Linked DNA regions of Macaca fascicularis. The protein of the gene in region 7 interacts with the protein of the main gene of each other region in a pairwise test. Links are inferred from orthologs where the notes say so. Each region holds a gene or a part of one and is shown on either strand. Other genes may lie near its edges. The genes, in order: HYI, ZNF414, DUSP21, CCDC198, NEFL, PPP1R18 and TEX11.

Region 1 (4,195 bases), on a different chromosome or scaffold from region 7:
ACCTCCACAGCAACCCTGGCACTGGCTTCTCAATGGGAGGGAAGCAACAGAGAAACTGAAGTGTTAGACACTATGTGTCCCCCCACCCCATAACAGAGACATAAGACAATGTTCAGCGGGTCATCTTTAATGCAGAGGAGGAGATGGGATCTCACTCGCTGTCTGGAGGCATGTGGGTGGTGTGCAGGCCCTCACTGGCCACCTCGGGGTGGCCCCGCCTATCCCAGTATGAACGTAGCCAACTCAAGCCCTCTACTGTGTCTCCTGTAGGGAGAGGGAGGCCTGGGCATCTCAGCCCACAAGGAGAAAACATCCCCTGTCCAGTCCCTCCAGAGCTCCCTTCCCCAGGGCCACCCCTCACCTCGAGGCTGATACTCGCAGCCCACAAAGCCTTTGTAGCCTTCATCTTCCAGCAGTTGAAACAGATAGGGGAAATTCAGCTCTCCGGGGCTGCTGGGCTCCCCTCGGCCTGGGACCTGTGCCACCTGCACATGCCCTGGGGACAGATGTGGACAAATGTGGGGTCCAGGCTCCTGCCAGGGCCTGAAGAACAGATGTGGGGATTGAAAGGGTGGGAGGGCACAGGAAGCTCCTCTCACCAACAATGGGCAGGAACTCCTGGATGTTTCCTGTCAGGTTCCCATCCATGATCTGCCAGTGGAATATGTCCTGGGGAAGAGGATACTACAGTCCAAGACCCCGCAGGCCCCACCCTCCTTCCGGTCTTCAAAGTACCCCCTTTCTTCCACTTACCATTTGTAATTGGAGGTTGGGTCTTCCCACCTTCTGTAAGATGGCTGCCGCTGTAAGAGAAGCCAGGGAGGGGGCCGTGAGCCTCGAGAAGAGCACAGGAATCAAAAGGGACAGAAGGAGACAGGGCTGGGGTCATACCCTGCTGGGGCGTGTCCAGGAAGTACTGGGGGTCAGTGATGCGGGTATTGATGGGCTCCAGCAGTCCCACGAGGTCCGCCTAGCAGCATGTCGGGTGCTGTGAATAGAGCTCCTTCCCAAGTTCGTCCCCCATCAGTCAGTCACTGGTCAAGGCCCTCACCTGTCCCTCTGACCTAGGCTGGCAGCCTCACGTGCTGTCCCCACTGTGCACCCCCTCCTCCGCACACCCACAAAGACATGTAAGTACATGTGTGTTTCCACCTTTCTCACCTCAGCCAAAACCCCAGCTGCATGCCTCAGGTTCTCCAGAAAAACGATCTCCATCTCAGCTTTGACTGCTATTCGATCAGCTCCCTGGGGTACTCGGCCAGCCATCAGGTGGATCCTGTGAGGAAGATGGATTGGAGGCCTTGCCTCCCTTGGCTCTCTGCACCTCTTCCAGGATTCCCTGACACTGCTGGCCCTTGCCTGTCTCCCCAGGTCTCCAGTCCATGGCACCTGAGCCACGATGCCTAGGCATCCCAGCGCTTTTCAGAGACACTTCAGTAACGGCCGAGGGGAAGCCCTTTCCCAGACACCTCAGCGTCCACCCACCGCCCCCTGCCTCCAGTACTTTCTACCTTTCCTTCCCTCGGTCCTTCTCCTCAACCTATAACCTGCTAAATTCTCACCTTTAAAAATTATCCTGACCCTTGCTTGCCCTTCTCAGGTATTCCGTGCTGCTGTCTCTACTTCCTCTCCTTGCATCTACTACTTAGACTCTTCCCATCTTTTTTCTGCCCCCACCATTGACCAATAGTGATCCCCTCTTGCTAGTACCTTCTGAGCCTGTTTGGCCTCTGCAGGATTTGACATTTGATCAGCCCCATTTGAGCCGTCCACCTCCTCCCATCATCCCCTGATCTTATCAGCCACATCCAGCTCTGAACAGACATTCCAGACCTCCCCACCCCAACAGGCTACATATATGTACAGCCTTAGGAACACTGCTGAACACACCAGGCTGCCTCTTGCCACAGCACCCTTGCCGGGAATACTTTACCTTCTGCCCATCAAGCAATGCCCACTCCTTGAAGACAGTCCAAGCATCACTACCTGTAAGCAGCTTTCTCTGATCCAGACAGGGTTAGGTGCCTACCCCTGCTCCCACAGCTTCCTGGAATAGGGCTGTCCTCAAATGGATCACTGCATATATTTACTCTCCTATCTTCCTAGGCAGACTGAGCTCCCAGCATGGGATGCCAGCATGGGGTGAGCATAAAAGAGTGGCAAACAGACTGGCACAGGACAGATAAAATACAAAAGGCAATTTACAAAGGACCAGGACCGCAGAGGCGGAGATAGGCCAGTGGCCTCAGACTCCTGAGCGTCTCAGACCTCAGGTCCTCGACTACCTGAACCTGAGGCAGGGTCATGGGTCACAGAGGGGTGGGGCTTGGGGTGGAGGCGGGGTACCTGGGACAGCCCAGGGCCTTGGCGTATCGCACGGCCTGCTCCAGCCCCTCTCGGAAGGCCTCCTGTCTCCCGGGGACGGCCCCCAGCCCCATTTCCCCCTTCTCTTGGTCTCCTGCAGAGAGAACGGGCCTCAGCCCCCGACTCGGGCACTCCCCTGCCCGCGCCCCGTCCCCCACCAGTCTCCCGGCCCGCGGCGCACCCGGGGGCGTGTTGATCAGCACAAGCCGCAGCCCCGCTTCTCGCGCGGCGCGCGCCAGCGCCTCAGGCGGCTCCGCGTACGGCCAGGCCACCTCGACGGCCTCGAAACCCGAGCTGCCCGCGGCCCGCAGCCGCGCGGGGAGGCCGGGGAGCTCGGGGAACAGCCAGGACAGATTGGCGGAGAAGCGCAGCGGCGCCATGCCTGGGGAGGCCGGGCCGGGCAGAGTCCGAAGGCTCCAAAGGCGGCGGGCGGGGCGGGGCTCTCCTTGCTGGCCCTGCGAACAAACGTGCACTCTTCCGGGTTAGAAAAGCGAAGTGCTGTAAAAATCCGGGCCTTCGCGAAAAGCGCCTTCCGTGAGCGAGAAAGGGAGCGCGGGGAGAGGCGAAGAGGCGGGGCGAGGGCGGCCGGAAAAGGAGCGGGGCCCGCGCCGGGAGAAGCTGGGGAGGCCGGGCTCCCGGACCTGAAAGCCGGACGCGGGGCCAGAGAGAGCTGGCTGCCCGAGGGCCAGGTTGCAATGATGGGACGTGCACTTTAATACTGAGTCTTTCCTCTGTTTATAAAAATGCTATCTGTTCGTTAAGCAACATTTGAAAGCTGTATAACCAAATAAAGAAGCACTTTTATACCACCAGTTATCACACCACTAGCCTGTTAGCTTTCCCGTCCAAATTTTAAAATATGCAGTTTTTTTCTTTGGAAATTGTGATCTTTCGGTATATGCGGTTTTATAGCCCTTTTTCATGGAATATTATTTTGTGAGCATTTCCTCGTGTTTTCCAATAGCCTTCAAAATCTGTGCCTTCGCTGCTCATTGTTGCACACCTAAGCAGCAAGTCATTTATTGTACTTTGTGGTTGGATATTGTGTGTGTGCGCGCGCGCTGCAAGCGCACTTTCATGCTCTTCTTAGTCCCTATCTCTGACTCTTTTTCAAGTCTTTTTCTAGAGATGTCCATCACAGTGTTGGCCCGTTCACGCCGTTTGTCTTTTGCAAGGGAAACGGCACCATTGAGCAGCTATGGGTGAGCTGTCCTCTCTTAGCCTTAGCCTCAGCTGATTGGACCAGGGAGGTCATCTGATCCCAGGACAGCCAATCCATAGACTGGTCAAAGACCTCTTACTTGCGTGGTTTGGAAAGATAAGATAACCAATCAAGAGTTCAAACAAAGAAATGCTGAGAGTCAACAGGTGGTGTTGCCAGAAGGTGACTGGGCTGTAGAAACGACATAAGACAGAGTCCTATGGTAAAGAAAAGCTAGAGCGGAAAGGAGGGGAACCAAGTCCTGTGAATAGAGGTAGCACACTGGGAAGCCCATGTCGTCCCAGGGGTGCCCAAACCCATAGCTGCCCCCAGGTCTGTGCACTTAAGGCTGGGATGCTTAGACTTTCCTGGGTTTCTTTGTCTGTATAGCATCTTAATGTTTCTTGAGATAATTTGAATGATTTTACTTTCATCTACAATAACCCACCTGATTGGGCAGGTTCTTAGGGGTAGAATTACATGGTCAAAAATAGGAACATATCTAAGTTATTGATGTCTTAAATTTCCTTTGAAAAATATAAATCTATATCCCAACAGTTCATGAGTAAACGTCATCTTGATCTATCGTCTGTGCTAACTTTGACAGAAAAGCTGAAAGTGCAACATTAG
Region 2 (4,107 bases), on a different chromosome or scaffold from region 7:
CGGGACGGTGGCATTTGTGGCCCCCTGGGAAAGGGATAGGCACTGTTCCCTCCTGGTATCCACCGGACCCCGCAGGGCGCAGGAAAGCCCCTCCACCCCTCCCTGGTGGTCACCTGCACGCACCTGAGGGCGCGCCGGAGCCGCCCTGGGGTCTTCGGGGGCTGCTGCCAGCACCTGCGGTAAAGGGGCGGGTCAAGTTCAGAGTCGGGGCGAGGCCAGCTCACCCTCCTGGTGACCCCCACCCCCATACTCACCTTGGCTCTTTTTCCAGACGGCGGCGCTGGAAGCCGGCGGCCCGGGTGCAGCGGCCAGGAAGGGGCACAGGCGCGGGGGGCTTAGGCCAAAGGGCGCAGGGATCAAGTAGGGCACGAACGGTCCGGTGGCGGCAGGGGCGGGGGTCGTGAAAGGTTCCAGCAGCGGGAACGGCAGGCCCGGCGCTGACGCGAGGTCAACCTCCGGGGGACGCTCGGGCGCGGGCGGCTCTCGGTCGAGGGCCGGGGGTGGTGGCGGGGCTGGGCTCTGCGCATTCTCCACGCAAACATGTAGATGCTTGAAGAGCGAGCGGTGCGTGCGGAAGCGCAGGAGGCAGTTCTCACACCTGGGGGTGGGCAGAGGGCTGGGCTGGGCCTCCAGGGAGACCAGAGAGAGGGTTCTGTGCAATGCCACCCGCCCTTCGAGTGTGGGAACGGAGCCTGGGCACCAATCGCCTCCCCGCTCCCGTACAAGCGTGGCAGCGACCCTTCCTGACCACTACAGGTGCTGGTTTCCTGGGGAAACCCGGAAAGAAGTCTCAATTTTAAGTTAGGAGGCCGGTTTTCCACTTGGGAGGCAACGCCTCGCGGGGTGGAGCCACCCCCACTTATGCCCCGCCCCATCCAGCGATGTAGGGGCGGGGCTTCCCCCAAAAGGCCACCCACATCAAATCCCGCCCTCCAACACCCTGACCAGGAAGGGAGGAAGGCCTGGAGCCCACACACAGGGTGAGGCTAGGGCAGGGCGGAGCTCAAGAGGTCAGGGTCTCACTTGAAGTAGCGATTGGGCTTGTAGTGCAGTTTGCTGTGAGCCACCAGCTCCTGCATGCTGGGGAAGGTCTCGGTGCAGCTCAGGGCTGAGCAGCGGAAGAGCTTGCCTGGTAAGGATGAAGACAGAGGAGTGGAAAGGGGTGGTCAAGGCTGGCTCCGAGGGGCTCCACCTGTTTCCCACCCTAACCTGCCTCCCCATTACCGGTCCTGGCCCTACCTTCCAGGGACTGTGTGGGCGGACAGTGGGTTCGAAGATGCTGTGCCAGGTCACGGACGCTGGGAAAACTGAGGGAGCAGCCAGGGCTGGAGCAAGGGATTTGCTTCCCTGCAGGACGCACAGAACAGGGGTCACTGGTCCCTTCCTCACTAGTGCTGTCCCTGACCCCAGGGCTCTGCCCCAGAGAAGCAAATATGATGCTGGGGCCTCTACTCTCTGCCTACCACAACAAACTGATCTGCCACAGTGCAGGGGCTGGATTGGCCACGCTCACCATTGGAGCCACAGCCTGGCATCCACTGGCAGCACAGTAAAATGATGAGTGGCATCCCTCTAGAAAGGCCCTTAGGTTAGAGATTCTCTACTTCTTGCTTCTATTGTTCCAGGGCCCGTGACTCCCCAGAAGGTCCCATCACAGATCACCTGGAGGTGGGCGTCGTCTGGGAGGCCGCAGGTCCTCGCTGGTCCCGGAGACTATGCTGGTCGGGCCAGGGCTGGGTCCGGGGCCAGGCTGGCAGCTGTCTGGGGCTGGGGAGGAGCCCTGCTGCATCCCTCCAAGCCCTCCACGTTCCCACACTGGTGGTGTGGCTGCCTGCTCAGGGCCCGGCTCCTCCGCCATGGAGGAGGAGGTGGCGGCAGATGGCACAGCCGGGGACAACAACTCCTTGTCGGTCTCACTGGAGCTGGGCTCTGCAGTGGCCGGCATGTCTGGGCTGGGTCCTGAGGGTTTCTCCTCCTGGTGGAAGAGGCAGAGATAACCCTTCTGGGCTCTGGGTCAACCCAGTCAGCCCCCATCCTAAGGAATCACCAGCAGGAGAGGATAGGGGAATACGTAAGGTTGGACTAAGCTCCTTTTTCCTTTTTATAAAGATGGGGGTTTCGCCATGTCCCCCTCGCTGGTCTTGAACCCTTGGTCTTAAGTGATCCTCCTGCCTCAGCGTCCCAAAGTGCTGGGATTAAAGGCGTCAGCCACTGCACTGGCCCAGATTGAGCTTCTTATGTACATGGGAGAAGCATCTCCTCAACTAGGATAAGTGGGAGCCCCAGTATGCGACACAAGCGTGGCCTACAGGGAGTGGGCGGGGCCAAGAATACGGAGGCGGGGCTATGGGCAGAGAGCGACTGGGAAGATGCTAGAGGAGCTACACACGGATTGTCTGAGGACCGAGAAACACTGGCCAGCTGCGAGCCGTGTGGACAATCTTGGAGGTGCTAGGAACCCGGATGTAATAAGTTTTGGGGCGGAGTCCTAGCCTGGTGGGCGTGGTCCATTCCGGGCCCGGCCGGGAAGTAGGGCGCTCTCCGAGTGACAGCCAGCGGCAGACGGGTGCCCGGATGTGGGGGCTGGGTCGGCCGGAGGATGTATGCGCGACAGGGCCGCTTCCCGCCACTCCCCGCCGCTCCGCCGCGCCCGCGACCCCGGTGCCGCGCTCACCATCTTCGACACGGCTCGGCCTCTTGTTCCTGCGGCTTCGGCGGCTCCAGCTTAGGCGGCGGCCACCCTCTGGGCAATGCGAGCTCGCGCTCACGTCAGCGCCATTTTCCGTCTCTCGGCTCTCGCGAGGTTGGAGGCGGGGCCTGCGCAAGGCGTTCGGATAGGGGGCGGGGCCTGAGGGCAGAGTGAACGTGGAGTGCAACTTGGACGCTGTTGGAGTCTTGCTATCCCAGGGTAATCAGAGCGCACTTCAGGCGACTCCGTGAACAGAGGTCCGGGTTCAAAATGGGCACCTTCATCCCCTCTAGTCTTGTCCCAATATCAGCCCTGGACAGGCGATAAACAGCAGTTCTTATTTTATTTATTTATTTTTTGAGACGGAGTTTCGCTCTTGCTGCCCAGGCTGGAGTGTAATGGCACGATCTCGGCTCACTGCAACCTCCGCTTCCCGGGCTCAAGCGATTCTCCTGCCTCAGCCTCCCAAGTGGCTGGGATTACAGGCGCCCACCACCACGTCTGGCTAATATTTTGTATTTTTAGTAGAGACGGGGTTTCACCATGTTGTCCAGGCTGGTCGTGAATTCCTGACCTCAGGTGATCTGCCCGCCTCGGCCTCCCAAAGTACTGGGATTACAGGCGTGAGCCACCGCGCCCGGCCAGTTCTTCTTTATTTTTTATAGTGTTGAGACAGGGTCTTGCACTGTCGCCCAGACTGGAGCGCAGTGATGCGATCATAGCTCGCTACAGCCTTGACCTCCTGGGCTCAGCCGATCCTCCCATCTCAGCCTCCCGAGTAGCTGGGATGACTGGCGTGCGCCACCGTGCCCAGCTACTTATTACATTCTTTTTAGAGGCAGGATCTCTCTGTGTTGCCCAGGACGGTCCTGGGCTCAAACGATCCTCCCGCCTCGGCCTCCCAAGTGTTAGGATTGCAGGCGTGAGCCACCTCGCCTCCCCTTTCACTCACATTTTAAAATGGGTAAACAGCATCGCTTGAGCCAGGGAGGTCGAGGCTGCAGTGAGCGTGATGGCACCACTGCACTCCTGCCTGGTCGAAAAAGCAAGACCCCATCTCTAAAAGTGAAATAAAAATAAATTAAAATGGGGAAATAGTAAATCAACAAGTGCAAAAACAATCTTTTGTCCTATTCAGTGCAATGAAGGAAACAATGAAATGTGGAAGTGATGGGTCAGGGAAGCCACTCTGAGGAGGTGACTTCGGAGCTGTCTCCAGATGATCGAGGAGTGAGCTGGTGGAAAGCCCGAGGAGCGGGGGCTTTACCGGATAGCTGGTGCAGATGTCCTGGAGTGGGGTGGGACGGGCTTATTTTGGTCAAAGAGCAGCGAGGAGATGAGAGCACCACTGGAGCAGAGTGGAGCGGGGGTATGGAGGTCAGAAAGTGAATATGGTGCACGGCAGGTCATGCAGGGCC
Region 3 (4,172 bases), about 33 Mb from region 7:
TTTCTTCACTAAATAACAAGGAAAATTGCCTCCATCAGTGTGCTTAAAAAAAAAGAGGAAAAGTAGAGACAAGTGAGATCTGAAAGTGACCTGCTTCCAAACTCAAGGGGAGAAAATGTTATCTATCCAGGAAAAGCTCCATAGTGGACTTTTAAAACATCCAACATCCCTCAGACTAATAGGTGTCACAGAATATGAAGAATAAATAAATGAATATATTTAATACGGGTCATGCTTGTCTTTGAAAATAGTGTCTGTGGCCGGGTGCGGTGGCTCATGCCTGTAATCCCTGCACTTTGGGAGGCTGAGGCAGGTGGATCACCTGAGGTCGGGAGTTTGAGACCAGCCTGGCCAACATGGTGAAACCCCGTCTCTACTAGAAATACAAAAAATTAGCTGGGCATGGTGGCGCGAGCCTGTAATCCCAGCTTCTCATGAGACGGAGGCAGGAGAATGGCTTGAACCTGGGAGGCGGAGGTTGTGGTGAGCCGAGATTGCACCACTGCACTCCAGCCTGGGCAACAAGAGCAAAACCCTGTCTCAAAAAAAAAAAAAAGAAAAGAAAATAGTGTCTGAAATTATTTTGTTAATTTTTCTATAGTTTTAAAGTTTAAGAAGTGTATACTTATGAAATAACTAGACACCAATACTAGTTTAGGGCCTCCACATTACTACATAGATTACAAAGCTTCTCCCTTAGCCAGGTTGAGCTGTCCCCAACAGACAGTTTTCATATTTATTTAGTATTTGTGTTCTATTTTCTTCCAGATAGATTTGTGGGGACTGACAATTTAAGTAATGCAAATTAATTTTATTATGACAACCGAGAAAAAGAAATATGTGTTGTGTTTTGAGGTTATCGTTTCCTTGACCATCATAAGCAGCCTGATATCTACTTCATCTTTGTTCATAATCACAGCACACCTTTGAACACATACCAAAATGATGATGGAATGAGAGCAAAGTATGTGAGTCAATTGGCTGCTCTGCGAAACAGTTTGTTAGTTTTAGGCTATAGTTCTTTTCAATTTTCAGCCAAATTCTATAAAAATCTTAGCTGGAAGGAAATGCAAATGTCAGGTTGCATTTTAGAAATTAATTTTTGGGCTGGGTGCGGTGGCTCTTGCATGTAATCCCAGCACTTTGGGAGGCCGAGGTGAGAGGATCACCTGAGGTCAGGAGTTTGAGACCAGCCTGGCCAACATGGTGAAATCCTGTCTCTACTAAAAATACAAAAATTAGTCGGGTGTGGTGGCGCACTCTTGTAATCCCAGCTGCTTGGTCGGCTGAGGCACAAGAATCACTTGAACTCAGGAGGCAGAGGCCTGGGCCTCTCCAGCCTGGATGACAGAGCAAGCCTGTCTCAATTTTTGGCCCAATTACCATGTAGCATTAACTTGTTCCAGAATGTGTAATATTACTGGGAAGACAGCATCGGTAGTGGTCAAAGTGATTTGTGGTTCACAAAGCATGTGGGCATTCTTTTTGAAGAAAGTAAACAAAATAATTTGAACTATTGTTTCAGTCATTTGAGCTGTATGTACAAACGGACTATGACACAGCTAAATTAGTCACAACTGTCCACCACAGGCCAACTTCAAGATAAAGGGTTATATATCAGTTAGCAATGCTCCCTTACAACCAGCCCTGATGTGTTTGTAAGCAGGAAAAAAATTTTATGGTTGCAATCAACAAAGAAATATCAGGCCAGTCCACCAAGCCCAGCCAAATCCCATATCTCGCTCCAGTTTTATAGAGATTAGCGTATCACATGAGCCAAATGCTGTTCCCCAACTTAGAATGTGATGTTGCTATTTTGCAGGGAAAGTGTAAGCCCTGTTCTGCAACACTGATGAAATAGAAGTATTCATAAATACTGTGTTTAATGTGGTCCAATAATTGAAACATAAAATAGATATCTTGTAACAGAACATTTTTAAAAGTCAAGAAAGATAAGAATTAGGCCTTGGAAAATAAATGACTATGAAGAAAGATAAAAATAAAACAGACTGGGGTGTCTCTGAAGACCCTGCTTAGAGGCCTTGTCCTCCTTGCAGCAAGCGGCCATTGCCATGGAAACCACAGCCGCAGGGCTATCTGTCCGAGATTGTGACGCCCAGATGGGAGTGGTGGGAGGAGACAGGAAGAGGGTGGTGACCGATGGCCGGTCCTCTTTCTCCAACACCTAGCCTGAGACTTCGCGGCGCGGCTGCAATCCTGAACTAGCTTGGTAAGGGTTGTGCCCTGAACCAGCATAGAGAGACCTCGGACCAGCCGCCTTGATGACAGCATCCGCGTCCTTTTCATCATCTCAGGGTCTCCAACAGCCCTCCATCTACAGCTTCTCCCAAATAACCAGCAGCTTGTTTCTCAGCAATGGTGTAGCTGCCAACAACAAAATCCTTCTGTCCAGCAATCGCATCACCGCCATTGTCAATGCCTCGGTGGAAGTGGTCAATGTGTTCTTTGAGGGCATTCAGTACGTAAAGGTGCCTGTTACCGATGCTCGTGACTCTCGTCTCTGCGACTTTTTTGACCCCATTGCTGATCTTATCCACAGCGTGGATATGAGGCAGGGCCGCACGCTGCTGCACTGCGTGGCTGGAGTGAGCCGTTCCGCCTCACTGTGCCTTGCGTACCTCATGAAATACCACTCCATGTCGCTGCTGGACGCCCATGCATGGACCAAGTCGCGCCGCCCCATCATCCGGCCCAACAACGGCTTTTGGGAACAGCTCATCAATTACGAATTCAAGCTGTTTAGTAACAACACCGTGCGCATGATCAACTCGCCGGTAGGTGACATCCCTGACATCTATGAGAAGGACATACTTGCAGTGATATCAATGTAAGCCATCCCGGCCAGCCCTTGACATCTGCCATCGATCTGGCACCAAGACTGAACTTGAACACTGACATTTTGTTAGTAAAGAAAACCGGTTGGTGCCTTGTTAAGGGGCAAGAAAAAAAGGGAGGGGGTTGGAGTTTTGAATGTAGTAAGCCTTACCTTAATAGAATTAAATTCACGAAATGTAAGATGGTGAAAATGTTTTTTATCTTGTGAGGTCAAGCTATTGGGGCCTGGCTGGAACCAGGGTGCGGCAAGTGATGCTCAGCTCACATAGACCTGCCAGCAGCACCCAATACATGTGGCAGGCCTGGAATTCTGAGCCCTGCCGGAGGCCGACTAACTCAGGAGTGAATCCCCTAGAATCTCACCTGGTTCTTTCCAAACCAAAGTCAAAGCCTTAGACATCTTGGCATCCCTTGCACTTCTCCCGGTAAGTGCCAACCTAGTGGATAAGTGACTTTCATTCAAGCTTTGCTCCAGGAGCTCTGGAGGAGGCTCAGGCTACCCTTGCCCGCCTTCAATCACAGTGGCCCATCTCTGGTTTTCTAGATTGAATTTATACATTAGTTTAAAAAAAAAAAAAAAAAACTAGTTTTTTAAAAGACCATTCCACTCCATAAAGTTTAAAAATACTGTACTTTTTGAGTGCTATACTTGATGGCAAGGTCTCAAGGTGTCTTTGGTGATCTCCCACCAGCCTTTGTGAAAAGGGACATTAGTCCTTTTCCCAGGGCATATACTGAGAGAGAACAGGCCTGACACCAGGTCTCAGGGGTTCCTCTCATGAACCTTGGCTTAAGAGGCTGGAGCTGCTGGCCATGACCCAACCCTGTCACCTCTAACATCTCCTTTCATTGTGACCTGGGTCCCCTCAAAGCTTCACTTTCCTCACCTGTCAAAGCAACTCTCTCCCATAGAGTTGTTGTGAGGACTGGGTTCCTTAGCACAGTACCTGGCACATGAATGGTTTCATGCTTGGAGTAAAGGGCAATGATACTCTTTGACCCTGGTTTGAGGTCAGCACACTCATCCTCATAATGGCATTTCCCCCTTCTGTGCACAGTCCTTTGTTGTTTACAAAATGCTCTTCCAAAAAATCATCAAGTGTCTAAAAACAAATGGCTGAAGGTCCTTTTGGACCTTACCTTAGAATGGGCCTAGATTCGGGCATGGTGGCTGGCACCTGTAGTCCCAGCTATTCGGGAGGCTGAGGTAAGAGAAGCACTCGAGCCCGGGAGGTGGAGGTTGCAGGGAGCCAAGATTGAACCATTGCACTCCAGCCTTGGGTGACAGAGTGAGACTCTGTATCGAAAAAGAAAAA
Region 4 (4,183 bases), on a different chromosome or scaffold from region 7:
TAAATATAATTTACTATTAGATCAGGTAATCATTAGTTACTAGACTTTATCAACACAATTTTGTACCTTTCCAGTTATATATGTCTAACCTGTAGGTTGAATGTGGAGATGAAACACAGAAAGCAGGGAACCTACATTAGTGCAAATGACACTGTTTTAGTCTAGACTTGGGATTTAATATCTGCTCTCCTAACTTCCTACTCAGGTTCATATTTAGGGGAAGAATTACAAAATTACCAATATGTTGACTGCAAATATTTTTCAAACAGAATTTGGCCTGGAAAATAGAAATTTATTGACTTGTTTTAATTCCATAAAATCTCCTCACCGAAATATAAGACATCAGAAAAATATATAACTTTAAAAAATGAAAATAATCTTCTTAGATGAAATAGATGATAGATAGATAGATAGGTGATTATACAGAGATGAGACAGAAATGGAGTATGTGTGAACACAATTCAATAGCCCCTTTAGTGAAAAAAATTTCCACAGATTGCCACTATAATACAGCATATCAATATTCTTTCCTGATGAAACAAGCCAGGGATACAGAGTTAAGCCTCTATTAGGAAACAGAGAGGCTCAACAGATCCATTATGGATTTTATTTTCCAGCTTGATTATCCTGAGCTCTTGGGAGTGCTACCATGACCAACGCTGCATGAGTGCAGTTCTTGTCTTTCCCTTTTAATAATCTGGACACATTCTGATTTCTAGATTGTTTCACAGAGTATTTTACAGTCCCACTTTGCATTTTAAATGGAAAAATCCATGGATAATTATGCATCTTTCTCTTTAAGACATGTGAATGACCGCTTTAAGGACTTTGTTCTCTCTGACTTTTAGTGGTATGCAAACTATGTCCTTATTTTCTTTTGAAAAGATGCCAGCATATTGAGCAGGATGGAAACAACAAACATATTGGATTTAAAAATGTAAGTATTTTCAGCTATTTTTTCAGAAATCTTACTAATCCTTATTTTTTTATTTTAGTGATGTTAGTCCATTATTTAATTAGATTCTCCTCAAATGGCATAGGCTGTGTCAGGCATTTATTTTTACCCCTGATTACAAGTGAAAAAAATTGATGAAGTAACTTGCCCAAGGTCGTTCGATTTGGTATTTGATGGAGCTGCGGTGAGAATATGGGAGATCGTCATGAGAATCCTCATGATCTCCTTGTTATTTATTTTCAATGTGATTTTGTCACTTCAGACATAAGCATGTTTTCCAGTTGGGACTCTAAAGCACATGAATCAGCTTTCACCATTTATTCAGTTACCTAAATCTTTTTTTTTTGAAACAGAGTCTCTCTCTATCACCAAAATCTTAAAACTCTCAATGGGGATTTGGATAAAAAGGGAATTCCTCAGTAGGAGCATTGCATACTCTTAGTGCACACTCACGCTCCATTTTTTAAATCGTGTCTTGTCACCTATTCGTCTGTCATAAAAAATTTCCTAAGGGGAAAATTCCCATCTATGTGCTTAAGAACTTGAAGACCATAAAGAACATAAAAATAGGCCATATAGAAACAACCAAAGGTTATCAATTCTGCAGACAGTAGACATGAAAAATCATTCCAGGCAAGATTTGCTAGGTACCAAAAGAGAATGTGAGGCTTTCTGAATGAGGCATCCAATAAGGGAAACTTATTTGTGTTATTGATCCAGAAGGTGAAGGAAAGGGAAAACAATATACATATGCATATATATATATATAAAATAAACATATATTTTTCTAAGTGAAGATGTCTGTTTAATTATCATTGTGGTCATGATAAAACATTTTACATGGCTTATAAAATATTCCAGGATAATTTATAGCCACTTCAGGCTCAGAGCTTCCAATCATAATGGGAAAGAATTCTGTTAGTTCTGCAGATGACCATGAAGAATGTGGGGTTGGGAAAAGGGTGACTCATCCACTCCAATGTACTGTAATAAATCAATTCTGTTTAGGGTGGTTTCAAAATTCATGTTAGAATTAACTCACTCTTAAAGTGCTGCTTTCAAAACCACAAAGCCCGGTGCATAAAACTATACTGGAGAGAATGATTTAAATTTAGAATTTAACTGAAATGCGATTGCTATCATTTATCACATTAGTATCTATATAATTTTAATGGTCTGTCAAAGCTAGGTATAAATATTGAAAGCATTACAAACTGAGCTGAAACAAAATGATTTATCCTTCTCATATGGAATGGTGAAAAGCCCTTTGTACAGTTTATACTCCCATTCTAATGCACCCAGAATACTTTCAATTGACATTCAATCCTCTTTGAAAGATTTGAGTTTTCAAAGATAGCCTAAATTCCTCTACATTTCAGTAATTTAGAAACTTTCTGAGATCATGGAGACAGTCAGATAAATCTATTAATAATGCTCCTTGGTCCAGATACACACATCTCATGCTGGGTTTTATGTTTACCTGCATAGTATCTTCCATACCAGTTTTCTTGTAAAGGTGGCAGCTGCCCTTCCAAGGCTTTATTCTGGTCCTGCAGTCTTGCCAGTGAATGTGAAGTCTTTTCTTCCAAATTCTGATTGAATGCAAAGTCCACAGGGCCAGCTGAGGGAGTCTCTACCTCTTTGTTTTGCAAAGGTGCTACTTTGATCACCCTCGGGTGAGTCTTAGAGTGACTCAGGCCCATTTCATGTGAAAGACATTCAGAGGAAAGCTGCGAGGAAAGTGGTTTTGGGGTCTTTAATATAGCTTGTTTTAATCAAGGCATTTCAGAAGTTTACCCTGGCTTTACAAAGCAGTCATTTCCTTCATGGCATCCTTCTAGCTCTGTTTCACTGCACACTAACCCTTTTGGCCACTTCCTGGGAGGCTGGTTTCCATGGAGACTTCCCTTCAACTTTGCCATTTCAGACCCAAAGAATCCAGTTAAACATTGACTTGGTTATGCTGCTTTCTGAAATACTCAGTGATAGGAATAGAAGCCACTATTGATCATTAAACAAATATCTAACACCAGGAAGATTATTAACACAGAGAGAGATGTAGAGCAGAGGTTTAGAGAAGTCTTAAACTTGACGCTTTCACTGCAAGCACCTTTGTAAAAAAACTAACAGCTGAGAATAGCTAAGCCATCTTTGCAACTAAGAGGATGCATGCTAATTACCAAGGCGTTGTTAATCTTTAATTTAATTGAAGAATTTATCCTCCAAGTAGGAAAGAAAGCAGCGGAGTGGCTAAAGCGTCATTTGATTTTTCTGTTGATGACTTGAGTTGCCTTTGAAGGGGATGAATACATTGCAGGACAGGAGGATAATAGAAACTTTTTTCCTGGGGATGAGGGGAAAAACTTCTTAAACATAAAAAGATAGCCTATTTACTATGTTTTTAAATTTAATTAAATTCATTTATTTATTTTTGAGACAGAGTCTCACTCTGTCACCCAAGCTGGAGTGCAGTGGTATGATCTTGGCTCACCACAACCTCTGCCTCTCCAGTTCAAGTGATTCTCCTGAGTCAGCCACCCAAGTAGCTGGGATTATGGGCACCTACTACCACCACACCCATCTAATTTTTGTATTTTTAATAGAGAAGGGGTTTCACCATGTTGGCCAAGTTGGTCTCAAACTCCTGATCTCAAGTGATCCACCTGTGTTGGCCTCCCAAAGTGTTGGGATTACATGCATGAGCCACAGTGCCCGGCCTATTATGATTTTTAAAGTAGAAAAAAGACTAGAAGGAAATATGCTGAAATATTGAGTAGTGATTTTTGAATGGTGGGATTATGGGTGATTTTTATTTTATTCTTTATACTTAGAAGTGGGACTAACTTTCAAGCTCTAATTGTTCATGACCACAGATTACTTGTGTGTTCATCACATCTCCATAGAGAAATTAAAAGAAAATGTATTTTTCATCTTTGCAGAATCCATTTCCTAAGGGACTAAGGTGGTGTTTGGAAAGTCTTGGTAGACAATCACATTTATCTAAAAAGATGCCTGAATTTAGTTTTTTCCTTATTCTCTTTGCATTTTCCACATCATTTTCTCTGCAGCAGAGAGATTTATAAGTAAAGACTAATATATTAACAGTATCTGCAAACAAAACAACTTTTGGTAAACAGACTAGTTTAATTACAAGGATAAAAATACTTGAACAAGGTCTAGTAAGATTTATTTTGGGGTACAATCAGTTTAATTATTTCTAAGGGCAGA
Region 5 (4,194 bases), on a different chromosome or scaffold from region 7:
AAAAAAACAAAAACCTGTGTTTCACGACTTGCTCTGAGCACCGTAAAGACAAAGGCAAGCAGGAGCAGGGTTGGGATTTACCAAAACTTAATGCCTGGGGATTTTTTTGATGGAGACCAGAAAAAAAAAATTAAGTCATCCTATTTGATTTAAAATGTAATGAGAAGCTAAAAACAGGACTCCTCATTACAGGGTTAAATTCTTATATATCTAAATACCTTCTTGGAAGAAGCCAAAAACTAACACTTCATTATTTCAATAGGACTATTCTTGAAGGTTTCTGATCCAACATAACTTTAAATGGGATCTGATTTTCTTCCTAAGGTTTAATGGCTGCTATCTTTGCCCCTCTGTTTTCACCTGTAAGCTGCAATCTCAATATCCAAAGCCATCTTCACGTTGAGGAGGTCTTGATATTCTTTTAGGTATCGTGCCATTTCACTCTTTGTGGTCCTCAATTCATTTTCTAATTTGTTGATCGTGTCCTGTTTGAAGACAAAAAATTAAAAAAAAAAAAATCCAAGCATAAATCCCTTCTATTTTACTGTAGTATAGTTGCAAAGGCCTAGTTTCGATTAAAATCAAGGTGCACACAAGGTGATAAAATCTCCCCTAGAATAACTTCCTGTATGTTTTTAAAAACCTTCTTGCCTAAAATACCCAAGTTCATGAAGCCTGAGATGAAAAAAAAGATAGAAGAAAATTCTGTTCTTCTATTTCTTTACTTAATACTGTTTAATGATCATCATAAAATGCCTGCAAACAAACTAAGTTGATGGAAAAACTGCGTTTCTCATTCACTGATTAACTATTCTTTAGCTGGGTTACATGCCAGGAAACTAACGCCTTTCTTTATAGGAGAAGAAAATAGCCAGATGTTAAAAAAAAAAAAAAAAAAAAAATTCTAAAATATTTCCTATGTATCTAAATTATTTTTTCTACTCCCAGAAAAAGAAAAAAATTTCTACTCCCAAAAGAAGAAAAAAATGTCTACTCCCCAGAAGATGGAGATCTTTCAAAATGGACATCTTTTTAAAAATTTATTTTTTCTACTCCCCAGAAGATGGAGATGTTTAAACAGAAATGTTGTAGAAGATTTTACACATTAAAAAAAAAGTTAAAGAAATGCTTTACTATGAATATCACTAGTTAACTACCTAAAACAATGTTGACTATTTTCCTGTCTACCTACTAAATAAAGGAAGGGAGTGGTTGGTAAAACTAGTCATAAAGCATGCCGGTCACAGTAATCTTTCAGAATTAATTGAGAGTTGTTCACTCTAGTATTTATTAACCAGATGATCCCATAGTTGCTGCAAAGTAACTTGTAGTTAATGCAGGTCAGTAGACAGCAGATCTCACTGCAGGCCGGAGGCAACGCCCAATTCCCATGTCTTCCCCTCCCCCACCCAACAGGGGCCGGGCAGCTTTAATGCGGAACTCGGGTGCAGCAGCACCGAGCACACTCCCAGACTACAGTCGCGCCCTCACTGACGCCCTCCAAGTGCCCCACCCCTCCCACACAGTGGCCAAGGAGCCAAGCCCTATCCCTAAGAGCTGCATGCAGCCGCACCACCCCTAGTCTCCACTTTCTGGGCCCACCAACTCTCCCCGTTGCTCGAGTCCTCCGCCCCCTTGTGTTTCGGGCGGGTGCCTCACCTGCATAGCGCTGATGTCGGCGTTCTGCTTGTCCTCCAGCTCCTGCAGCTGCTTCTCCAGCGCTTCGTTCATGCCCCGGCATGCTTCGATCTCCAGGGTCTTGGCCTTGAGCAGACGACGGCTCTCGGACACCTCGTCCTTGGCTGCTCGCACGGCGTCAGTGTTCTTGGCTGCGCTCTCGGTCAGCACGGTGAAGCGGCTCTTGAACCACTCCTCAGCATTCTGCATGTTCTTGGCGGCCAGCTTCTCGTACTGCGCGCGGATGTCCTTGAGCGCAGCGGAGAGGTCGGGCTTGGACACGTCCATCTCCACGGAGATCTGCGCGTACTGGATCTGCGCCTGCAGCTCGGCGATCTCCTCTTCGTGCACTTTCTTCAGAAAAGCGATTTCGTCCATCAAGCTGTCGATGCGCTTTTCGAGCTCGGCGCGAGCGAGTGCCGCCTCGTCGGCGCCTTTGCGCGCTTCCATCAGCCGGCCCTCGGCGTCCTCGCGGCTCAGCACCTCCTCTTCATAGCGTGCCTGCAGGTTGCGCAGGGTCTCTTCCAGCCCTTCGCGCTCGCCCTGGAGCGCCTGCTTCTCGTTGGTAGCATCTTCCGCCGCCAGGCGCAGGTCGCGGATCTCCTGCTCGTACAGCGCCCGGAAGCGGGATGGCTCGGAGTGCTTCTGGCGCAGCACCAGCAGCTCGGCTTCCAGGACCTTGTTCTGCTGCTCCAGCTCGTGTACGCGCTCGATGAAGCTGGCGAAGCGGTCATTGAGGTCCTGGAGCTGCGCCTTCTCCTGCGTGCGGATCGACTTGAGGTCGTTGCTGATGGCGGCTACCTGGCTCAGGTCGAGGTTCTCCAGGCTGGGCATCAACGATCCAGAGCTGGACGAGTAGCTGCGGCGCACGGACAGCGAGGAAGACACCGGCGCCGAGTAGCTGGAGTAAGCGGAGCGCGCGGTGCTGTAGCCGCTGCGCACGCTGGAGATGTGCACCCGGGGCGTCTCCACGTAGCGCCGCTTGTAGGAGGTCGAGTAGTACGGCTCGTAGCTGAAGGAACTCATGGTGGCTGCCGGTGGCTCCCCGGCCCGCGGCGGCGGTGGGAGCCCGGAGAGAGAGGACAGGGGAGAGAGGGAAGTGGGAGGATGGATGGCTGTGTGCGGCTAGGCGCCGTCCTGCCACCCCTATTTATACGCCGGGAGGCTCCTGACGCAGCCTGCGATCGATCACTGCGCGCCGGCCAGTGGGGGCAGCGCGCTGCTGCAACCAAGGCAAGGATTCTGCGCAAAAGGGAAGGCGGGGGCGAGCTACGGCCAGGGTAGCTGCGGCGCTCGTCCTTTCCACTTTGCTCAGAGGCCCCTGATTTTCTCAGAGATCCCATGCCCCCTTACTCTTTTCCCTTCTGTGCCCGCCCACGCAGCCCCTCCCTTCCTACATCGCCCAAACCCCGTGACACTTGGATCCTTAAGTGTCCCCAAAACAGGTTCTTGCTCCCTTTTGACACCCGAGTTTTCGGTATCCCGGCACCTCGCACACACCCTGTCCCCCCAACTCTCCCTTTTCCCACCAGGGACCTCCTTAATTATTCCCCTTGGTGTATATGGTGATAGTGCTGCTAGGGGATTTTACATACAAATAAATAGGCTAGGTTGTGTGTATGCAGTATGTATGAAGAACTTTTAATTTCTTTCCAGTTTTCTGGCACTTTCTGCAATTCATTTTCTTTCTCCTGATTATTTTTCTTTTTCTTTAATGCTCTGCTTCTCAACACATAGGGAATGTGAGCGCGAGTGCGCGCGGGCGCGCGCACACACACACACTCGTGAAACTGCGGCACTACGGCAGGTGTTGGTTTAGCATTTCTAAACCTTTAGAGCAGTTAATCCGCCTCTTGGTGTTTCTAGATTTTCACATTTCTTAACTGGGAATGAAGCCGCGGATGCTTTTATCGTGTTGCAGTGTGTGGGTGGCGGAGGGCAGAGAAAGAGTTGGAAGCTAACACGGAGACTGACTTGCTGAGGCAGCCGCGCGCTCCGCGGCGGGGAGCTTCAATGTGCCTGGATCCTCACCAAGCTAAATTCCTGCTTGCTTCCACCAACCGCAGCACGTTTAAAGTCCGCTTCCGTCTTTTTACACATGTGTAGCTCACAACCTGATGATTTCGACAAGCCTTGCAGGTGGCTGATTTTCAGGGAAGCCGCTGCGGCCAGCCCTGAGCGCCGGGTGTGGTCTCAGGGGAGGAGAGCTCCGCACCCAGGCTTCTTCAGGAACAGATAGAAAATAGCTATAGCCGCGTGATTCTTCCCCCGATACACTGTAATAACCCGAAAACAGATGCAGTCAGGATTGCATGGATTTCCTTCAGGAAGCACCCAGATACCTGAAACTGGTGCACGCTGTAGCGCACGTGGATACAGCCATGCGGTTTGCAGGGCATTTTCACATGCGTGATGTTAGGAGTCCCCCGGGTTTCATGGAGGGATTGCAGAGATTTATGGGAAACACCTAAGATTTATCTAAGCAAGCATTTAGTTTTTGTTTTGTTTGTATATCGC
Region 6 (3,500 bases), on a different chromosome or scaffold from region 7:
CTTCCTGACCCTCTAAGTTCCACTGTTCTTTTTTTTTTTTTTCATAGTCACTCACCACCTTCTAACTTCCTAGATAATTTACTAATTTATTATACTCGTGTCTGCTGTTGAAAGAAGCTTGGGGCCGGGTGAAGTGGCTCACACCTGTAATCCCAGCACTTTGGGAGGCCAAGACAGGGGGATCACTTGAGGTCAGGAGTTTGAGACCAGCCTGGCCAACATGGTGAAACCCCGTCTCTACTAAAAATACTAAAATTAGCTGGGCTTGGTGGTGTGCGCCTGTAGTTCCAGATATTCAGGAGGCTGAGGATGGAGAATCACTTGAAGCCAGAAGGTGGAGGTTGTAGTGGGCCGAAATCTCACCATTGAACTCCAGGCTGGGAGACAGCAAGACTGTCTCAGAAAAAAAAAAAAAAAAAAAAGAAAAGAAAAAAGGAGCTTGAAAGTTGCTACAGTGCAAGAGTTTAGAGTTTGTTCAAACCTCAGATGAGGTGCCATCAGAGGACCAATGCTGGGGAAACAATCTGGGGGTGGTCCAGCCTATACATATTTGACCCCCCAGTTCATGTCTGTGGAACTGCTGGTACAATCTAGTTATAGCAGCCAGACTGCTTATATCCCAAGTTCTCAGAAGCGACCACTTAGTTTCTGTTACTGACAGATTTACCCACATTTCTGGGAACCCATTTTTGTTTTCTTCTCATATCCTCTTTTGGAATAATAACCTCTGTACTTTATTATCTATTCTGAAAAAGGACTTATTTTATTTGTTCTCGGTCTATGTTTGTATCTCCCCCCTACCCTGCCTCTCTCCTCACCCCCCACCAGCTTCTGACTGGACTTCTCAGGAATGCACAGCCTGCATGGGAGTGGGGGGGCGGGTAGAGAGAGGGTGACTCACTTGCTCCTCTCCCATCAGCTATATAAGGTCACAATAGGGCTGGTCTCTCAGCCCAGGAGGCCTCTGGGGTAGGGCACCAGCCACAGCCATCCCCTGGGCTCCAGTGGCAGGGCTGGGATTTCTCTCCTGATGGCAGGGATAAGTTTGATGGACTTAGCCTGCAAACGAGTTATTTAGGGAAGGTGAAGCGGGGGTTGGTGGCAGGGTCCTCCTATCTCCTATTCCTGAGCCAGTGTGTTGCAGCAGAGCTGGGACAAGGCACCCAGTCCCTGAAGAGCAGGGTGCTGAGAGTGGGGAGAGGGTGGAGGGTGAGGCATCTGGGTCAGAAGAACTCTGTGCTGCCTCTTCCCCACCCCCACCCAAGCAGTGGCTGCTTCCTTATTCTCTCACCACATCCTGAGCACAGCTCTGGCAGGCCCAGAGCCCAGGGTTCCCCACTTAGCCCCACCAGCCTTCCGGCCTCCACCCCAGGCTTCCTGTTTGGGCGATCTGCTTCCGGCTCCCCTGCTCTCTGGCCTAGGTATGGTCACCAGCATGGGTCCTGCGCTGCACTTGCTTCCTGGCTCCCCTGGGATGCTCCCTGGGCTTTGGGCCCCAAAGCTTCATGCTTCCCTCTGCTCATTCTTCCCCAGAGGCACAAGCCTCTCTCAGTAGGAAGTGACTTTTCTGAACACCTCACCCGGGTAGCATTTCCGGACTTCTGTTTTTTTCATCTGCCCAGCCCTGAGGGGAACAGGATGGTAGCAGTCAGAGGGCTGAGGGTAGGTTCCCAAGCACCATGGCTCAGGGGTGTGAACTTACGCTTCATGTGAAGATGAATTGGGCAATCAAATGAACCCCCCTCCACCCCAGGCTTAACCCATATCTTTAGTCCCTGTGGTTCCCCACTGACACTGAGGACACAAAAAAATCAAATCTGAGGATGTTAACACAGGGGATGAGAATGAGACTGGGCATCCCAGGCTCTGGGGAGATGTGTGTGACTGGAGGGACTTCCTAAGTCTGAGATGTCTGAGGTGGGACCTCTCTCTCGCCAGAGATTTTCAAGCTGGAAACAGGTGGGCGTGCACAGGGAAGAAATGAGGCCAGGGCCAGGGGGAGTTAGCCTAGCTGCCCCCACTTTCCTGCAGGTCTTTGTTGCAAGTCTAACCTCTGACCCTCTGCTGGCCTCAGCCCCGACCCCTATCCAGAACTCCCACTGTGCTCCCTGGCCAGTGCCTGCTCTCAAAACTGTCTCCAAATTCACTTCTCTCTTTCACTACCCTAAGGGGAGGGAGAGTCCAGGATGGCAGGAAGAGAGGGGAAAACCGAACCCTAAGCCAGTTCTTGGGAGGGAGGGGAAACCCAGGGAGGAAGGACGGGGGAGTGAGGGGCGGGAGTATTTTGGAAGAGGAGAAGGCTTTTCTTGTCCCAAGAGAGAAGGGAGCACTGTCTGAAGCAGTGGCCCAGCTGGGGGTGTGCAACCCCGAGGTCACCCACTTCAAATGGCCTCTCTGTGTCTCTCCCATGGGGCAGACTCAGGGTTCAAAAGCCTTCTCTCTGCTCTTTGGCCGGCCCAGTTCCATCTCCCCTCTCCCCTCCATCCTAAGATGTCCCTATTCAGCTCTGCCCTCTTTCCCATGGGGCAGTTGGACCTTCCTCCATTCACTTCTCCCTACAGTTTCTCCCTAGAACACAAACGCACCCCCTCCGCCACCCCAGGCTCCCTATCCCTTCTCCGCAGAAAAACTGCAAGTGCTTTCACCCTCGTGACGCTGCCCTCACTGATTCAAGCTTGTCAGTTTGGGCTTTCCCACTGGATGGGCTGGGGCGGGTCACACTCAGGAAAGGAAGGAAAGAAAAGGGGGCTGAAAATTCAGAGCCCAAGGGAAGGGAGAATGAGCAGCCGGGCACACCCTGAAAGAGACACACCCAGAGACGGCCTTTGCTGGGGCAGGATCTTTTGGGCTCAAAATGGAACAGGAGGGCTCTGAGAAGGAAGGGTGTATGTGCAGAGCGAGGAAGGGTGGTGGCAGGAATTAACAAGAAAGAAGAGAGGAAGACAAGAAAACAGGGGTATAAAAAAGAAATAAAGACCAGAGTCCAAAGAGAATTGACAAGTGGGCTTCTAAGAAGTCTGGCTTGGCTGCTTCCCTACCTGTTTGTGGTGTCTTTCGGGGGACCCCTTGGCAAGGCAGCTGCGGCTGAGACGGAGGTAGCCCCCCAGAACCAAGATCTCCTCGGCAGTTGGGTACCGCTTCTTCCCAGCTCCTGGGACTGCAGCATCAGCTGTGGCTGGAGAGGTTGGGGTGGCTGGGGTCGTAGGGGGCACAGACCGCCGGGGGTTGACGGTGAAGGTGTGTCCACTGCGGCGGGGGGCCCCCACCCCTGGCCCTGCCTTCACCCCATAGAACAGGCGGCTCATGAGGGGATCCCCAGGAGGTTGGGGGGCAGTTGGGGCTGGGGGTGGGGGAGACAGAGGGGCTGGTGGTGGGGGCTGGAGTTCCACTGCTTCCTCTTCCTGCTGTCTCAGGCCTCCAGTCCCAGCGTCCTCTGGTGGGAGGGGGGAGGGCACAGAGCAGCAGTTTTGCAGGGCTCTCAGAGGCCTGCCCTGAGCTCC
Region 7 (4,137 bases):
TTATGTCACATGAGTTTGAAAAAATTTTTTTGATAATATGAAAGGCATCAATTGAGATTCTACATCATGCTTATTGTTTAGTTTTAGGGTTTTTTTTTTTTTTTTTTTTTTTTTTTTTGAGACACAGTCTTGCTCTGTTGTCCAGGCTGGAATTCAGTGGCACGATCTGAGCTAACTACAACCTCAACCTCCAGGCTCAAACAATTCTTATGCCTCAGCCACCCCAGTAGCTGGGATTACAGGCGAGCACATCACACCCAGCTAATTTTTGTATTTTTAATAGAGATGGGGTTTTGCCATGTTGACTAGGCTGGTCTCGAATTCCTGGTCTGAAGTGATCCGCCTGCCTCAGCCTCCCAACGTGCTGGGATTACAAGCATGAGCCACTGCGCCTGACCTAGTTTTAGTGTTTTTTTTTGTTTGTTTTTGTTTTTTGTTTTTTTTAAATGGTGTCTTGCTATGTTGCCCAGCCTGTTTCAAACTCCTGGGCTCAAGGGATCCTCCTGCCACAGCCACCTGAGTAGTTGGTACTACAGGCGTGGAACATTGTGCACAGCTAATGCTTGGGTTTTAAGGAATTCCATGGCCTAGTAAGATTCAGCTATGTGGAGTCTGGAGCTGAGACCATTTAGAAAATGGTGACATCATTTGTGCAGATTCAATAGCTGGTTAATGTTGTTGCTAATTGAGCATGTCATTTTTTTTTTTTCTCACAAAGTAAGGTCAAGACTTCAGAGCCAGCAGTTTGCTATGTCTGTCTAATGCTTGAAAATATTAATAAGTTTTTCAGTTTTACAGGGCACATATCCAGATCTTTCAGATTTTCTACATTTTCTAGTTTTGAAGACACTGTTAAGTTCAGTTTTGTAGGGTTTTTTTTGTTTGTTTTAGAGAAAGGGTCTCACTCTGTAGCCCTTGCTGGATGGAGTACAGTGGCAGGATCATAGCTCACCGTATTCTTGAACTCCTGGACTCAAGTGATCCTCCCAACTCAGCCTTTGGACTAGCTAGGACTAAAGATGTGTGCCACCATGCTTGGCCTGTTTTGTACTTTTAATATTACCTAATAACTTTACTATTAGTGAAGTCAATGCATTTTCCTTTCTGAGAATGAATAATGATTAAGTTATAAACAAGTGACTCCCAAAGAATGCAAATTTTATTTGAAAATTATACTCTTGCTTAAATAAACTTTAAATCTCCAGTTTGGTTTTACTCTAAGGATCAAGTTCCTTCATGCTATATTCATTTGGCCAATGATTTAGGAATAGGTTTAAAAATGATTTGCTACTTTTAGCCAATGGTAATAGTTCACAGCACATTTATCATCCATTGTTATTTCAGAAGTTGTTGAAAACCTGGTTGCAAGTGATAATTCACCTAACATACCAGAGGCAATTGATAGACTCTTCAGAGACATAGCAAATATCAACAGGGAGTCTATGGCTGAAATAACAGACGCTCAGGTTAGTATAAAAATAATTCTGTTTATGACAAGTTTTGATAATTCTTCATTTTAACCAATGTATTATATAGATAAAAAAGTAGTCTTAACCCTTGCTAAACATATAAAAATCTATTTTTGGATGTTCACACCTAATTTAGGGGAAAAAAATTTTAGAAACCAATGGAAAAATATGTGCTCAAGTTTAAACATTTATTATTTATTAGTAATGTTATATATTATTAATATTTATTAACCTCTCCAGGCTTCAGTTTTCTCATCTGTTAAATGATAATAGTAATACCCACCTCTAAGTGTTGTTGTGAATAGTAAACAAAATAACATACATAAGGTCCTGGGCACACACGAGTTCTCTTTTCCTTCCCTTTGCAGCAAAGTAGTGGAGCCACCCAGTAGTGGAGAACTCAGTTGACTATAAGCCTTCAGAAGTGCTTTTTTGGGGGGTAATTTTCTAATGTTTAAATGAAGGTCTGTTACTTACTTAATATGGAAATTGTCTTGAGGCTTGAAACACTTTTGAGAACATTTACCTTGGGCAAATACTTGCATTTTGGTGATTACTTATATGGAAAGGTGAGAAGAAAGTTTATTGTAAATCTCTCTTCCTCTTTATATATATATGTATCTATATATGTATGTATGTGTTTATGTATATATAAATACCTTTATTTAGATATAATTTACATACCATGCAATTCACCCATTTCAAGTATGCAATTCAATAGTTTTTAGTATTTCCCAGAGTTGTTGTGCACCTATCACCACGGTTAGTTAATTTTAGAATATTTTCACCACCTCAAAAAGAAACCACGCCCATTCACAAACACTCTCCATTTCCTCCCATCCCCTTCCCTCCCTCACCCTCAGCCCTAGGTAACCGCTAATCTACTTTTGGTCTCTATGGTTTTGCCTAATGAGGACATTTTATGTAAATAAAATCATACAATGTGTGGTTTACTGACTGCTTTCACTTAGCCCCATGTTTTCAAAGTTCATCCATGTTGTTGCATGTATTTGTACTTCATACATTTTTATGACTGAATAATATCCCATTGTATGGCTATACCATATTTTGTTTGTGCATTCATCTATTGATGAACGTTTTCATTGCTTCCACCTTTTGGCTATTATGAATAATCCTGCTATAAATACTCATGTACAGATTTTTATGTTTTTATTTTTCTTAGGTTTGTACCTAAGAATGAAATTGCTGGGCCATGTGATAACTCTAAACTTTTGATGAACTACCAGATTGTTTTCCAAAATGGCTGTACCATTTTACATTCCCACTAGCAGTATAAGAGGGATCCAGTTGGTGGTGACTCATGCCTGTAATCCCAGCACTTTGGGAGGCCAAGGCAGGCGGATCACGAGGCCAGGAGATCAAGACCATCCTGGCTAACACCGTGAAACCCCGTCTCTACTAAAAATACAAAAATTAGCTGGGTGTGGTGGCGGGTGCCTGTAGTTCCAGCTACTCGGGAGGTTGAGGCAGGAGAATGGTGTGAACCCGGGAGGTGGAGCTTGCAGTGAGCCGAGATCACACCACAGAACTCCAGCCTGGGCGAGAGAGCGAGACTCCGTCTCAAAAAAAAAAAAAAAAAAAAAGAGGGATAGAGGGATCCAGTTTTTCCACCTCCTTGCTGACATTTTTCATTATTTGTCTTTTTGGTTATAGTCATTTTAGTGGGTTTGAAGTGTTATCTTATCTCGTTGTGTTTTTTATTGTGGTAAAACACACATAACATACAATTTACTGTCTTAATCATTTTTAGGTGTATAGTTCCCTTGTGTTAAGTATGTTCACATTGTGCAGCCATTCTCCAGAACCCTTTTCATCTTGCAAAACTGAAACTCTGTACTCATTAAGCAACTCCCCCTTGCCCTCTAAAATTCTTTTTTTTTTTTTTTTTTTTTGAGACGGAGTCTTGCTCTGTCACCCAGGCTGGAGTGCAGTGGCCGGATCTCAGCTCACTGCAAGCTCCTCCTCTCGGGTTCACGCCATTCTCCTGCCTCAGCCTCCCAAGTAGCTGGGACTACAGGCACCCGCCACTTCGCCCGGCTAGTTTTTTGTATTTTTTAGTAGAGACGGGGTTTCACCGTGTTAGCCAGGATGGTCTCGATCTCCTGACCTCATGATCCGCCCGTCTCGGCCTCCCAAAGTGCTGGGATTACAGGCTTGAGCCACCGTGCCCGGCCTAAAATTCTTATGAATTTTGAGATCAGCTTGTCAACCACCATTCTACTTTCTGTCTCTATAAATTTGACTACTCTCAGTACCTCATGTAAGTGGAATCATATAATAATTGTCTTTTTGTGACTGGTTTATTTCTCTTAGTATAATGTCTTCCAGGTTCATCCGTGTTGCAGCATGTGTCAGAATTTTCTTCCTTTTTAAGACTGAATAATCCATTGTATGTGTATACCACATTTTGTTTATCCATTCATTTGTTGATGGACACTTGGGTTGCATCTACCTTTTGCCTATTGTGAATAATGTTGCTATGAGCATTGGTATGGAAATTTCTGATCAAGTCCCTGCATTCAATTCTTTTGGATATACACCCAGAATTGGAATTGCTGTATCATACGACAATTCTGTTTTTAATTTTTCGAGCAACCGCCATACTGTTTTCCATAGCAACTATAGCATTTTACATTTCTATTAATAG

The links.
Region 1: the proteins of TEX11 (region 7) and HYI interact in binary tests that used the Homo sapiens proteins (3 or more experiments, as listed by UniProt). The two-hybrid records come from large-scale screens. The link is inferred for Macaca fascicularis from reciprocal best matches to the Homo sapiens genes TEX11 and HYI.
Region 2: the proteins of TEX11 (region 7) and ZNF414 interact in binary tests that used the Homo sapiens proteins (3 or more experiments, as listed by UniProt). The two-hybrid records come from large-scale screens. The link is inferred for Macaca fascicularis from reciprocal best matches to the Homo sapiens genes TEX11 and ZNF414.
Region 3: the proteins of TEX11 (region 7) and DUSP21 interact in binary tests that used the Homo sapiens proteins (3 or more experiments, as listed by UniProt). The two-hybrid records come from large-scale screens. The link is inferred for Macaca fascicularis from reciprocal best matches to the Homo sapiens genes TEX11 and DUSP21.
Region 4: the proteins of TEX11 (region 7) and CCDC198 interact in binary tests that used the Homo sapiens proteins (3 or more experiments, as listed by UniProt). The two-hybrid records come from large-scale screens. The link is inferred for Macaca fascicularis from reciprocal best matches to the Homo sapiens genes TEX11 and CCDC198.
Region 5: the proteins of TEX11 (region 7) and NEFL interact in a two-hybrid assay, tested with the Homo sapiens proteins (2 studies listed by BioGRID and IntAct). The two-hybrid records come from large-scale screens. The link is inferred for Macaca fascicularis from reciprocal best matches to the Homo sapiens genes TEX11 and NEFL.
Region 6: the proteins of TEX11 (region 7) and PPP1R18 interact in binary tests that used the Homo sapiens proteins (3 or more experiments, as listed by UniProt). The two-hybrid records come from large-scale screens. The link is inferred for Macaca fascicularis from reciprocal best matches to the Homo sapiens genes TEX11 and PPP1R18.

What each region holds. Positions count from the first base shown.
Region 1 is NC_088375.1:191,320,929-191,325,123, reverse strand, and holds HYI (putative hydroxypyruvate isomerase), read right to left. Parts: upstream 2,801-4,195; 5' UTR 2,745-2,800; coding exon 2,347-2,744; exon of another isoform or gene 1,981-2,346; coding exon of another isoform or gene 1,934-1,980; intron 1,277-1,933; coding exon 1,162-1,276; intron 1,004-1,161; exon of another isoform or gene 971-1,003; coding exon 892-970; intron 804-891; coding exon 754-803; intron 670-753; coding exon 600-669; intron 497-599; coding exon 362-496; intron 265-361; coding exon 152-264; 3' UTR 112-151; downstream 1-111. UniProt on the Homo sapiens protein: Catalyzes the reversible isomerization between hydroxypyruvate and 2-hydroxy-3-oxopropanoate (also termed tartronate semialdehyde).
Region 2 is NC_088393.1:9,204,934-9,209,040, forward strand, and holds the start of ZNF414 (zinc finger protein 414), read right to left. Parts: upstream 2,801-4,107; 5' UTR 2,678-2,800; coding exon 2,675-2,677; intron 1,976-2,674; coding exon 1,663-1,975; intron 1,348-1,662; coding exon 1,240-1,347; intron 1,130-1,239; coding exon 1,024-1,129; intron 599-1,023; coding exon 255-598; intron 175-254; coding exon 124-174; intron 25-123; exon of another isoform or gene 1-24. UniProt on the Homo sapiens protein: May be involved in transcriptional regulation.
Region 3 is NC_088395.1:44,903,829-44,908,000, forward strand, and holds the start of DUSP21 (dual specificity protein phosphatase 21), read left to right. Parts: upstream 1-1,372; 5' UTR 1,373-2,282; coding exon 2,283-2,852; 3' UTR 2,853-4,172. UniProt on the Homo sapiens protein: Protein phosphatase component of the sperm flagellar doublet microtubules. May act as a regulator of sperm motility by mediating dephosphorylation of sperm doublet microtubule proteins.
Region 4 is NC_088381.1:125,322,274-125,326,456, forward strand, and holds the start of CCDC198 (factor associated with metabolism and energy), read right to left. Parts: upstream 2,801-4,183; 5' UTR 2,659-2,800; coding exon 2,436-2,658; intron 1-2,435. UniProt on the Homo sapiens protein: May be involved in tuning the metabolism, energy expenditure, and excretion processes.
Region 5 is NC_088382.1:28,137,965-28,142,158, forward strand, and holds the start of NEFL (neurofilament light polypeptide), read right to left. Parts: upstream 2,801-4,194; 5' UTR 2,704-2,800; coding exon 1,660-2,703; intron 486-1,659; coding exon 361-485; intron 1-360. UniProt on the Homo sapiens protein: Neurofilaments usually contain three intermediate filament proteins: NEFL, NEFM, and NEFH which are involved in the maintenance of neuronal caliber.
Region 6 is NC_088378.1:141,971,609-141,975,108, reverse strand, and holds part of PPP1R18 (phostensin), read right to left. Parts: coding exon 3,039-3,500; intron 1-3,038.
Region 7 is NC_088395.1:77,572,374-77,576,510, reverse strand, and holds the start of TEX11 (testis-expressed protein 11), read left to right. Parts: upstream 1-1,337; 5' UTR 1,338-1,442; coding exon 1,443-1,466; intron 1,467-4,137. UniProt on the Homo sapiens protein: Regulator of crossing-over during meiosis. Involved in initiation and/or maintenance of chromosome synapsis and formation of crossovers.